Arabidopsis thaliana: one gene and its partner. The protein of the gene in region 2 binds, or shares a complex with, the protein of the main gene of each other region. Each region holds a gene or a part of one and is shown on either strand. Other genes may lie near its edges. The genes, in order: AT2G20635 and MAD2.

Region 1 (6,667 bases), on a different chromosome or scaffold from region 2:
AACAGTTCAACACTAATATACTAATTCAAAACCATATATTCAAAACAGAACCATATACGGTTCCTTGTTCCTTGTAAACTAAACAGTGGGAAGTTTGTTTTAAGATCCGAAGTGTTGAAAATATGTTTCACATTTCATCAAGTGCTAAGGAAAGACAGAACAATATACGGTTCATCAAGTGCAACACTACAAAGTAGTGGAAATATCATCAAGCAACACTACAATCATCAAGGTTCCTTCTAGTCATAAACTCCAAAAATCTACTCTTATGTTCAGCCCTAGGAAACGCTATAAAACCCTGCCGACTCGCTTCATCAGCTATAAGATGGTCAATTGATGTCTTGTGAAATGGAGACCACATCCTAACTCCAGGCAATCCATTAAGCGTCTCTAGTACACTCTTAACGCTAGATGCATGCTCCCGCTCCAACATCAGTTCCACTATTCTATTCTTCTTCTCAAGAGCTTCAGTCTGCTTTACATAAGCTTCAACAACCATATCTTTCTCTTTACGCCTTTTTTTTTGCTTTTGAACTTCCATTTTGAGTTTGTGTCTGTTTCTCTACCATTGGCACTGACACGTCTTTGTCAACAGAATCAGCTTCATCATCCAAATCATCTACAATACCTTTCTGAGAGAGCCTCTCGTCGCAAGAAGCACGGCTGCATCAATCAAACAAACGAAAATGAATGAAACTTAATAACTTAACCCAGTCAACTAGAATCAGCTGAGTTGATGTCATACATTCATAACTGGCTAGAGAATATATATATCAGACCAACACAGTAAACAACAGAGATTCAAGTTCTGCAGTGTTGCAGTGTTGATAGGCCTATAGGCCCAAGTGAGCCAACTTATGTCTTTTGACTTGTCGTCTGTCTGAGGAAATCTCTCTCTATTCTAGCTTTGTAGATAAAAGAAACCATTTAGAGTATTGGATCAACAACCATGGATTTTACATTGTGGCCAGAACATTTATTGTCAATGGAATTGTTTAAGCAAGACATGACTTTGATCACACAGCTTAGGCGTTTTATACGTCTTTTGTTTCTCCCTCTCACACACACCGGAATGGTAAAGTTTATAGACAACAAAAGTTTATCTATCACTGGAACCTTACAACTATACAAGAAATGTCGTCTGTGCTTTGCTTAGAGACTGCTTCTTCTATCAACTCCTTGGCTGCCGCTTGTGGATCTTTTATGCTTTTGATCAAATCCACCGCTTCTTGGTTCGACATCACCTGATAATTAATGCAACACTCGTCAAGACATTGTTAAAGATTTCATCACTCTGATGATAACATGGGACGAGATCTCAAATACCTTCCAAACTCCATCACTTGCGAAAAGGATAAACTCAGTCTCATGATCGATATTCTCGTCTCTTATGTCTGGATCTGAGCTCAGATGTATCTTTAAGCTCTTATCTCCAAACGCCCTAGCAACCGCTAGTTGTCCATCAACTCTTGGAACATCCCCTGAAACCATTCAAGAATCGTCTATAAATTCCTCTTCTCATGTTTTATATGTGATGAGCAAGTAAGTGTCTCCATCTACAAAACTTACCTGGAATATTTGATACAAAGCCACCACGGCTTTCTATTTCCTTTTGTTCCTTGCTTGGTTCATGATCAACAGAGAGTTGAGAAGCAACACCGTTCTTTGACATCACTGCACGTGAGTCTCCAACGTTAGCAATCACTAGCGTTTTCCCATCTATCAGAATGCCTGTTACAGCCGTTGATCCACCTTTGCCAAGTTTAAGTGACTGCTCTAATATCACAGCATCGGTTGATATGTATGCATTCCTTATAGCGTTTTTCGTATCAGTCCAAAAATCCTTCTGAAATAAGTGAAACAACAAAAACATTTTAAGTCTTATCAGAGACATTATAGAAATCCATAAAAACAGATTCATGCATGCTTTAAACATGAGTTACCTCTTTGAGTATGTTATCAAAGAGATTGGTTTGCAAGTACTTGGCTACATCATGCCCTAAGTGACCATCAAAGATAGCAAACAAACCCAAATCATGGCCGTCTACTTTCTTGAACTCAGACACAACATAGTCCTCCATCGGATGGCCCGCTTTGCCTTTCACAAAGTCATAACCGTGTGCGATGTTCTTCCACACCTTGGTTTTACCTCTGCCTGTGTCAGATCCGCATAATCCAACCTTCAAATATTCACACCCAAACAACAAGAAATTATACTATTAGTTTCATTTTTAAAAAAAACTTTTTTACTACTCAATACATTATAATCATTTTATTCTTAAGCTAAAAACATAAGTTGACAAATAACAGCAAAATATAAGAAGAAAAAAAAAAGCAAATATGAAAATAAATGAGAAAGATAAATTATAAAATCAAGTTTGGTTTGATAAACAAAAAGAAATTCAAAGTTTAGACATTTAAAGAAAAACAAATGATTATTAGATCCACATAACCCTTTGTAAAGACTCAATTTCATGAATAAAATTCAGCTTGCAGAACAAAACAAACAAAAAAGATCTACATAATCCAACCTTTACCAATTCACACCAAAACACAATCACATTAATCCAAGTTCTGTAATTTCTTCATCAAGAGCAACATACATACATTTCATTATCACCAAATCTCTAACCAAAAAGAGAATATAGAAAATGCACAAATTACTGAAACAAATTCAGTAACACAAGCTCTAGAAGAATCAATATCATCGTTTAACATGCGAGATGCTAACTTCCTTAAAACGGCTCTACGTACAAGTTATCACAAAGAAACAAATATAGCTTAATGAGAAACAGAACAAGACATACAAGGATCAGATCACAAAATCAAGATTCTTTAGAGCCCTTGAAACGCTACTAAAGAAAAAAGAAAAAGACTAGCGTTGAGCTAAGCATACCTTCATCTTATGGAGAATCTCTCTGCCTGCCATTGTTACAAGAATTTGTTTCTCTGCCTTTGTGTCTGAAATATGAATGATTCTAAGAAAGAAAAACAGAGAGATGAGTTTATGTAATAAATATGAATGTGAGGTAATCAATCCACATGTGAACAGCCGGTGATTCTTATCATTATTGGCTACTGACTTCCTCCGCCGACGACTTTTCTTCTTTATATTTTTCTCAAGGCAAAAGTATTCCCTAAACAAATTCTCTCTATTATTATTTGCTACATTCTTTCACATTGCCGACAAAATAAAACATTACTTTTAAAATAAAAAACTGTTATTTCGTGCACATCATCTCATTCATTACATTATTGATCGGAAAAATATTTTTTTGTTATTACTTAAAATAACAAGACATTATTTTATCAGTTTTTCTAGTTACTCTGTCATGACAACATGTGCAACAAAGAAAGGAAACTTTATCTTAAAAATATTTTCAAACAAATTCGAACAAAATGACGTCGACAAAAAGAAATACGCGTGTAAAAGACAAACCACACGCAACAAAGGCGCGTTTAGCGCGTAAGACTAGAATCCGTGGACCTGAAGCGCGTGGGCCGGGATTTTCATTTGTCTTAACTGAAACAATGGGCCACATAATTAACAAAATAGGCCCATTTACACTTTTGGGTTATATAGAATATTTGCTCTGGTCCAACAAATTTTGAATTTCGAAAGTTAATTTTTTTTGAAAAGCTTCACTTCCCACTCTCTCTCTCTCTCTCTCTCTTCCTACGGCTGCGAAAATGACAATCGGTTACAGAGACGCCGCCGGAGACCCGCTCTTCCCGTGGCTTATGTAACTCATGCTTTATCCTTCCTTCTCATCTAACTAATTGTGCTATATGTGTCAAAATGGATTCTAATTTTCCGATGTTGTATTTTGGGGTTTTCACAGGGAGATTAAAAATTCGATGGAGGATCTATACGCTGGTAAAAATTCCGGATACGATCTCGATAAGCTTCTATTTGATTGTATCTCAACTTATAAGAAAGATTCTCGGTACCGAAATGACCTCAGATTCCTCAAGATCTGGTTTCTCTATGTAACTTTACTAAAACCCTCTCTCCCAACTTGTTTGAGCTTAAATTGTGCTTTTCTTTCCTCGATTGTTTGTTTGATTAGCATTCTTAGGGTTTGGGATTGTTATATTGCGAATCAACTGATGTAGATGTTACAGTTTGGGGGTTAAATTGTTGAATCTCTTCTTAGCTTGAAGGCAGGGAAGATTTTGAGAGGGTTTATAGAGAAATTGAAGAGACTGAGATATGTAAAGGGCATTCGTTGCTCTATGAATGGTATGCTATTTTTCTTGAGGTCAAAGGATTGTGGCGAAGAGCAAATTCTGTTTATCAGACTGGTCTTTCAAGGTCTCTTATCTTTCTCCTTGTTCTGTGGCTCCTTCCTTATCTTTTTCCTCTAGTTTGTGGTTTCATTTCTTATTTGTTTCTCATTGGAGAATTGTAGGAAAGCTGAACCATTTGACAGGTTAAAAGAGGCTCACTCATTGTTCTTACAAAGAATCTCTAAGAGGACCAAAGCATCTTCCCTTGAAAAGGTTTATTTTTTAATTTTAATGAGTAGCATATGGTTATTCTAATGCACTTTGATAGCTTTAGTTGAGGATTGAACGTTTTCTTTCTGGCAGGTTGGTGATGATGCTCAGGCCACTGACTTGGAGACGGGTTTTGTGAATCCATGGGAAACATCCACTGTGAACGGCTTAATTCACAAGATAAAACCACAGCTTGTGAAATATGATGTAAGGCTGATGGAAAATCATGATATTTTACATGATTTAACTTATATAGGGAGGCTTGTCCACTGAGTTTCTTTCTTTATGTTTGCATCAGGGGTACCATGTAAGCAACAAAGTTTTCCCTGGAAAGGCCAACCTGTCATCTTTGCAGAATTATTCCAGAAATAAGATCATTGAGATAGGTATACTTTTTTCATACCAATCTAGTCTGTCACCGCTACAGGATAAAGAATCCTTCTTTTTATTATAAGATGCATTTTTCAAATTAAAAGTGGCTGGGCATGTATTCATTTGTGTAAAAGAAATTGATTCCCGCTTTGTTCTCACCTGGGACAATATGTCTTCTCTGAGACTAAAATAAAAAAAGTGACCTGGATCCATTGGCTCTGTCTATTTGCTAGGTGGAAGAAAGTACCAGATGAAGGGCTGTGCTGGCCAAGGTGGTTTTGCTCAAGTGTTCAAAGCATTCATTGACAGCAATCCTGATGAAGTAGTTGCTCTAAAGGTAGATAGACCCTTAAAGTTTTTTCAAATACAGTATGATGCTAAATGCTCATATTGCATATACAAATCTCTTCACAGGTACAAAAACCACCTTTTCCTTGGGAATTCCACATGTATCGCCAACTTGATTGCAGGATCCCAGATAGCCAAGTATGCCCTTTTCCATTAATATTACCAGTTCACAGGTGTTTCACACCGTACTAATTACTCTCATGCTATGTTAGAGATCAAGTTTTGGATTGGCTCAGAGAGTGCACGTGTATTCAGACTACAGTATACTTGTCTGCGATTATTTATCACACGGGACACTCCAGGTAGGTGGTATCTTAGGACTCTCACGGACTGAATATACAAAATGCAAACATAGTTCTTTGCTTCATTTGCCTTCTTTTTGTGATTTAAGGACGTCATAAACTCGTATGTCGTTGTTGGAAAGTCCATGGAAGAAGTTTTGTGCATGTATTACACAATAGAAATGCTGAACATGCTGGAGACTTTGCACAGTGTTGGAATCATTCATGGTGATTTCAAGCCAGACAATCTGCTGATCCGATACCCTCCGTAAGTTTATTCCGCTCCAATATTGCTGATTAGATTGTAGATAAAGACTTTTTGGTCATGAAGCCATGTACTTGTATGTTAACGATCGTGGCAGAGACTGACATACCTCACGGATTACTTGCAGAGAAAACCTAACTGAGACAGGCTTTCATGAGAAAACAGGTTCTTGGAGCAAGAAGGTAAATCCCTTATACAACTACTAGTACTCTGATTTGTGTGTGTCCACAATCTGATGCAACTTTTCATTTCTACCTCAGGGTCTCTGTCTTGTTGACTGGGGTAGAGGAATAGACTTGAGCTTGTTTCCTAGAACCACCGAGTTTACAGGAGATTGTCGTACCTCAGGCTTCCGTTGCGTGGAGATGAAGGAGGATAAACCTTGGAAGTTTCAGGCAAGTCTTTAAAATCACACTGCTTCAGCAAGAATTTTTCTTTGCATGATTAGACTTTTAACCATTCGAGTCCATTGTAACATGTGTTATATATAGGTGGACACTTATGGACTATGTGTAATCGTCCACATGATGCTGCACAACGTCTACATGGAGATCGAGAAGAAGCAATCTCTGGACGGTGGCTACATTAATATGCCGAGAACTTCATTTAAAAGGTCTCAAAAGAATAATTCAACTTCATTTGCTTGTTTTGTCTCTCAAACAAAAAAAAATTATTGTTTGGATATTGAATCACTAAGTTATTTGCTCAGATACTGGAAGGTGGATCTGTGGAAAGAACTGTTCACGAAGCTGCTCAACAGAGAAACGTGTGAAGATGACACAGAGACACTGAGGAATCTGAGAAAGTCAATGGAAGAGTATATATGCTCTGATCCTAAGCTCATGAAGAAGCTTAACGAGTTACTCGCCAAACAACGCATCTCGTTATGCTCTTCGTAATC
Region 2 (6,667 bases):
TTGGGTTTTCTTCTAAAATTGATCTTTATCTTTATCTTCTTGTAGGTTTTGAAGATACTGGTATTTCATTTACATCTGTTGAAGGTATTGATCTCACATTTATTGAATCTTTGAGTGTATATATAAATGGTGGTGTTGAAATCTTTTTTAGTTGGGGAATTACTTTGAGAGAAATGGTTGTATCAGTCCTAACTTTGGGTAAACAATTGTGCAACAACTTATGATTCTCTTATAATTCAGTGAAATAAAAGTGAACTCATACCAAATTGTAGAATGTTAGTGATAATGTGAAGCCGATTTTGTTTGGTTTGTGGAAGTAGTGTTAGTCACTTTAGTCTTGATATGAGTTGTATCTGTATGCAGCTAATGGCAGGCCAACGCTAAATCTTGAAACGGAGCTTGATCATGATGGTCTTCCTCTCCCCATTGCTGCTGATCCCATCACAGCAAATGGAGTTCCTCCTTGGAATTGGAGAGACACCCCTGGAAATGGTAAGTAACCAGACAATCTAACTTAGAGAGAGCCTCTCCTTGTTTATTAAGCTTTTGAACTTTTATGGCAACTACTACTAATCGTTGTCATGTTTGAAGCAGGCGTTGATGGTCAGCCATTTGCTGGGAGGATCATAACGGTGAAATTTGGAGATTACACAAGACGAGTTGGGATTGATGGTACTGCTGAAGCAATTAAGGAAGCTATCAGATCCGCGTTTAGATTGAGAACAAGACGAGCTTTTTGGCTAGAAGATGAAGAACAGGTTATTCGCTCTCTTGACCGAGACATGCCTTTAGGGAACTATATACTCCGCATTGATGAAGGTAAATCCACTCTTTCTTCTATGCTATTCATCGAATACTCTCTGGTTAGAGGTTTCTCAATATCCATTTGAATTCAGGGATAGCCGTTAGAGTGTGCCACTATGATGAATCTGATCCGTTACCAGTCCATCAAGAGGAGAAGATATTCTACACCGAAGAAGATTACCGAGATTTCTTGGCTCGACGAGGATGGACATGTCTGAGAGAGTTTGACGCGTTTCAAAACATAGACAATATGGACGAGCTTCAATCCGGTCGCTTATACAGAGGAATGAGATGAGAAAACGGTTACTACAGAAGGCTAGAAGAAACCTTTTATTTTTCATCAGTCACTATAAATAGCTTTTTTTGATCCAAAATACTTTATTTTCATCAGTCACTGTACATATGCACCTCTTTTGACATGCCATTGTGAATCAGAGGAATTTGATTTGTTTATTGAGAAATCTCTTTTTGATCCAAGAGCCATAAAGTTTGATTGGTAAACAAAACGGTTCAGTACAAGAGACAGGGACAATGAAAAAGCTGATAACTTTTGAACAAAACACAACACAAGTACAGGATTCCAATTCTCATACAATTCAGAAAAAGAAAAAAAACAGAAGAGAAAACGATATAGGTGTGTGAATAAAGGATTCACGTGCCTTTAAGAACAATGAGAACTCCCAAAGAGATAAACGCAAGCTGAACAAAGAGCCTTGCATACGTGTGTCCCGACTTCTGTTACTCTTCTTCATCCCACTCGTCGTTCTTGTATGAGACAAGCGTGTCGACTTTGTGAATCTGCAAAGTATGAAACCACCAAAATACTTAGACATTTCAAAGTGTATAAATAAAGGTTTCAAAATTCTTCCTCCTCCTTACCTTGGTATCAAAACCGTGTAACTTAACCATCTGTGGATTAGCAATCAACTTCGGGTCGCTCTCGATCCAAGTGAATGGAACAGCCACATCAGTATCCGTATACGCCAATACATCAAACACACCTAATACAAACAACATGCACAATCAAAAACGAGAATCCAAATCAAACTAGTTCCGAAATGATGATCACTCAAAGTTCCTATGAATTGGTTCTTACATGTTTCATCAAGACAAGGCAAGTAAGTAACACTTGAAGCAACCTGTCTCATAATAGCTTGAATCTCCCTCATGATCTCCTTATCACTCTTCTCCCTCGACACACTAAAAAGTTCCATAAAGATAACATAATGAAACAAAGAATCAAAGAAAACAAACAAACTTGCGAAAGTATCAACACTAAAAACAAAAAACTGACCCTTTGTCAACAACTTCATTATCAGTCTCAATACGAAAATTCCACCTCTCCAAGACTTCACCAGTAGCTTTACTCATAATCACTAACACTACTCTCTGCAACTTCCCAGCTTCAAGCCATTCTTTAGACCAAAAACAAAATCAAGTCTCAGACTCTCTCACAAAAGGAATCATTGAATAAAAGTCTGACATTTGTAAAATTACCGGAGATCTGAGAAGTGAGATTAGACATGAAAGATTTGACGGATTCATCTTCAATAAGCAACATCGGAAGTCCATATTTCTTCACTTTCACAAAACTTTCCTCTGGATAAACTGCACGATTATACAATATACTGTACCCAGAAACCAATAACGAATCAATTTCACTGTAAAAAAATCACAGAATCGAAGATTTCCAGACACTGAAATTGAAAAGTTCCGATCCAATTCTCACCTGTTCGCAGCGTAACCTGGAGGAAGAAGAAGAAGGAAAAAAAAAACATCAAATCGAGAAGAAGATATCTGAAATTGAGTCTAAGAAAAAATGAAGATACGTACAGAAGAATTCGCTGACGATGGCAGCAGATCCGTGTAAAGTGATGATATCTTTAGCAGCCGCTGTTTTGGACGCCATGGAGTCTAAGGATCGGTGATTTTGAAAATTGAATTCGCAAGTGTTAACAGCGTCGCTTAGGGTTTTAATGATTTTGAAGGGAAAAAAAGATATTTGAGGGAAGGATTAAAAAGAAGGAAAGAAAGAAAAAGAAAAAAAAAGGAATAAGAGCGTAACGGCTAGTCTTCCTCGGAAATGCACTTGCAACGGCTAGTTTGGGTTATTATAGTTTAAGGTCGAATCCACTAATTTTTTTTAAAAAAACAATATAATATCATTACCAGAATTTTTAAAATATCAAATATAAAAAAACAACAAATTATTTTTAGCCAATAGCAACATCTCTACAAACCATTGTAATAATTATTATTTTTGGTTTGCAACACATTTTACATTTAAAAGAAATACACCAAATATTAAATATATAATAACTTTGTTTTAAAAATTTAATAGAAAAGTCCATAGTTTTCTGCCATACGGATTTAGACTCGCCATGTGGTTTTTAACTTTTAAGCCGTATGTCTCTTTGATAAACGAATGAAGCATCAATCAAAATTTTAAGAAGCCTTTTAAGTGTTGAAAGGTAAATTTTGTAGTTTCTATTGGTAAATCGACTCATCTATGACTTTTTTTTTTAAATAGATTTCAAATATACTTCATATATATGTATATATAAATTTATGTCGTGACACCCATGACCGAAATCTAGAAAAAAAAAAAAAAAAAACTAAGGTATTTTTTTCCAGTCTAACTGAAAAAATACAATTTTACAAATAACTCAAACTTCAAATGTGTTTTGATTTACTTAATTAAGCCATTATTAATCCACATAAGGTTATTAACACAAATTTATCAAACTAACTAGCCACTTGATAATCCATTACTAGGTAAATTCAGGTATATATATAAGTTAATAATAAACTGATTATTTGACCAAAAAAAAGCATAATTAAAATATATTTTTATACATAAATAAAATAAAATAAACTCTCTTTGATGTTGACATCATATGAACACAGAGAAACAGATGAATGAAAGCGTTGTTAGCCTCTCTACTAGAGAGCTCTTTAAACTCTTTCCAAAAGCTTTCACTCACTCACTGTTACGCTATTAAATGTGGTTCCATCTCAGATATATACGTATCCAATCGAATTTTGGATTCTTATATAAAATTTGGCTTCTTGGGTTATGCCAATATGTTGTTCGATGAAATGCCTAAGAGAGATTCCGTGTCTTGGAACACAATGATTTCTGGGTACACAAGCTGTGGGAAATTGGAGGATGCATGGTGTTTATTTACATGTATGAAGAGATCTGGATCTGATGTTGATGGGTATAGTTTTAGTAGGTTGTTGAAAGGGATTGCTTCTGTGAAAAGGTTCGATCTTGGAGAGCAAGTGCATGGTTTGGTTATAAAGGGAGGTTATGAGTGTAATGTGTATGTTGGAAGTTCGCTTGTTGATATGTATGCGAAATGTGAAAGAGTTGAAGATGCTTTTGAGGCTTTTAAGGAGATTTCAGAGCCTAACTCTGTTTCATGGAATGCTTTGATTGCTGGATTTGTGCAAGTGCGAGATATCAAGACTGCTTTTTGGTTGTTGGGTTTGATGGAGATGAAAGCTGCTGTGACTATGGATGCTGGCACTTTCGCTCCACTTCTTACTTTGCTTGATGATCCTATGTTTTGTAACTTGTTAAAGCAAGTTCATGCTAAGGTTTTGAAACTCGGGCTTCAACACGAGATCACTATATGCAATGCGATGATCAGCTCTTATGCAGATTGTGGGTCAGTATCAGATGCAAAGAGAGTTTTTGATGGCTTGGGTGGCTCAAAAGACTTGATTTCGTGGAATTCGATGATTGCAGGTTTCTCTAAACATGAGCTAAAGGAATCTGCTTTTGAACTGTTTATTCAAATGCAAAGACATTGGGTCGAAACCGACATTTATACTTACACCGGCTTGTTAAGCGCTTGCTCTGGCGAAGAACATCAAATTTTTGGGAAGTCTTTGCATGGTATGGTAATAAAGAAGGGATTGGAACAAGTAACTTCTGCAACAAATGCATTGATCTCTATGTATATTCAGTTTCCTACAGGCACCATGGAAGATGCTCTGTCTCTATTTGAATCCTTAAAATCTAAGGATCTTATCTCTTGGAATTCGATCATTACAGGGTTCGCCCAGAAGGGTCTCAGCGAGGATGCGGTAAAGTTCTTTAGCTACTTAAGATCCTCAGAGATAAAAGTCGACGATTACGCCTTCTCTGCACTTCTCAGATCATGCTCGGACCTAGCAACACTCCAATTAGGTCAGCAGATCCACGCGCTCGCCACTAAATCAGGCTTCGTATCAAACGAGTTTGTAATCAGTTCTCTGATCGTGATGTACTCAAAATGTGGCATAATCGAGAGTGCACGAAAATGCTTCCAACAGATTTCCTCCAAACACAGCACAGTAGCTTGGAACGCAATGATTCTTGGATACGCTCAACATGGTTTAGGCCAAGTCTCTCTTGATCTCTTCTCCCAAATGTGTAACCAAAACGTGAAGCTAGACCATGTAACCTTCACAGCAATCCTTACAGCTTGTAGCCACACCGGTTTAATACAAGAGGGACTCGAGTTGCTTAATTTAATGGAACCGGTTTACAAAATCCAACCTCGAATGGAACATTACGCAGCTGCAGTTGATCTCTTAGGCAGAGCAGGGCTCGTGAACAAAGCGAAAGAGTTAATCGAATCAATGCCGTTGAATCCTGATCCAATGGTATTGAAAACTTTCCTTGGAGTTTGCAGGGCTTGTGGAGAGATCGAAATGGCTACTCAAGTGGCTAACCATTTGCTAGAGATTGAACCAGAAGATCATTTTACGTATGTTTCGTTGTCTCATATGTATAGTGATCTCAAGAAATGGGAAGAGAAAGCAAGTGTGAAGAAGATGATGAAGGAGAGAGGTGTAAAGAAAGTTCCAGGTTGGAGCTGGATTGAGATTAGAAATCAAGTTAAGGCCTTTAATGCTGAAGATCGATCAAATCCTCTTTGTCAAGATATATATATGATGATTAAAGACTTGACTCAGGAAATGCAGTGGCTTGATTCTGATAATGGGGTTGATGCAGATTCACTTCATGCTTAAGAGAAAATTTAGTTTAGGCCAAAACAAAACTTGTGATATAACTTTATTTAAAATTATTAGTTTGTTTGGGTGTTATTCAAAATTTCAACAACTACGACAAATAATGAAACTGAAAATTATGTTTAAAACTTTATTATCATGTGACCAAAAACAATGGTTAAACAAAAAAAGTTAAGAATTGGATTACTCGACGCTCACTATCCTGACAATAGATGAACCATCAATCTTGTGCAAAGCCACAATGGAATCTCCAGTCTTACAAATTCCCTTCGTCTTGGCAAATCCTATAGCTAATCTAATCATCTCCTCCGTTGAATCTCTAGCTGAACATCCCACCACCGGAATAATCCCACGGTAAATCAAACCACGTCTCGCCACATGAGCTACCGAGTCCGAGCATTCAGCAATCTCTGGCATAATCACCGACAGAATCGGAACGCTTGGCCTGTATTTAGCCACAAGCTCCGCCGTGTAACCGCCTCTAGTGAGAACAACGATCGCGGACGCGAAAACACTCCGCGCAGTCGAAACAGCTGAAGCAGCTAAGCTCTCGATTGGAGATAACGGTAACGAAACCATTCCTAGGGTTTTCTTGTGGAGAATGTCGTAATCTATGAAATCCTCTGCTTCTTTGCAGATCCTTGACATTGTTAACACGGCAGTCTCAGGGTGAGCTCCAGCAGCAGTTTCTCCGCTAAGCATAACGCAATCTGTCCCGTCAAGAACCGCGTTTGCTACGTCGGTAGCTTCAGCTCTAGTCGGGCGAGGAGAGACTGTCATGGATTCAAGCATCTGTGTGGCTGTGACCACTGGTTTCCCATGAGCATTAGCCTTGTTG

Evidence for each region.
Region 1: MAD2 (region 2) and AT2G20635 share a complex: the UniProt entries of both Arabidopsis thaliana proteins name them as parts of the mitotic checkpoint complex.

What each region holds. Positions count from the first base shown.
Region 1 is NC_003071.7:8,896,720-8,903,386, forward strand, and holds the start of AT2G20635 (protein kinase and Mad3-BUB1-I domain-containing protein), read left to right. Parts: upstream 1-3,640; 5' UTR 3,641-3,690; coding exon 3,691-3,743; intron 3,744-3,842; coding exon 3,843-3,990; intron 3,991-4,157; coding exon 4,158-4,315; intron 4,316-4,412; coding exon 4,413-4,503; intron 4,504-4,593; coding exon 4,594-4,707; intron 4,708-4,798; coding exon 4,799-4,886; intron 4,887-5,105; coding exon 5,106-5,209; intron 5,210-5,286; coding exon 5,287-5,358; intron 5,359-5,432; coding exon 5,433-5,522; intron 5,523-5,611; coding exon 5,612-5,769; intron 5,770-5,893; coding exon 5,894-5,948; intron 5,949-6,026; coding exon 6,027-6,161; intron 6,162-6,257; coding exon 6,258-6,379; intron 6,380-6,475; coding exon 6,476-6,665; 3' UTR 6,666-6,667. Other genes in the region: AT2G20625 (hypothetical protein (DUF626)), read right to left, coding at 265-499; PIA1 (PP2C induced by AVRRPM1), read right to left, coding at 616-663, 1,122-1,244, 1,327-1,481, 1,570-1,846, 1,944-2,180, 2,897-2,929. UniProt on the Arabidopsis thaliana protein: Serine/threonine-protein kinase that performs 2 crucial functions during mitosis: it is essential for spindle-assembly checkpoint signaling and for correct chromosome alignment. Has a key role in the assembly of checkpoint proteins at the kinetochore.
Region 2 is NC_003074.8:9,499,278-9,505,944, reverse strand, and holds MAD2 (DNA-binding HORMA family protein), read right to left. Parts: upstream 2,890-6,667; 5' UTR 2,714-2,889; coding exon 2,638-2,713; coding exon of another isoform or gene 2,634-2,637; exon of another isoform or gene 2,550-2,633; coding exon 2,534-2,549; exon of another isoform or gene 2,433-2,533; coding exon 2,302-2,432; intron 2,220-2,301; coding exon 2,099-2,219; intron 2,005-2,098; coding exon 1,901-2,004; intron 1,806-1,900; coding exon 1,684-1,805; intron 1,603-1,683; coding exon 1,543-1,602; 3' UTR 1,275-1,542; downstream 1-1,274. Other genes in the region: AT3G25990 (Homeodomain-like superfamily protein), read left to right, coding at 46-84, 364-492, 595-819, 897-1,099; AT3G25970 (Pentatricopeptide repeat (PPR) superfamily protein), read left to right, coding at 3,724-5,829; AT3G25960 (Pyruvate kinase family protein), read right to left, coding at 6,013-6,667. UniProt on the Arabidopsis thaliana protein: Required for the execution of the mitotic checkpoint which monitors the process of kinetochore-spindle attachment and delays the onset of anaphase when this process is not complete.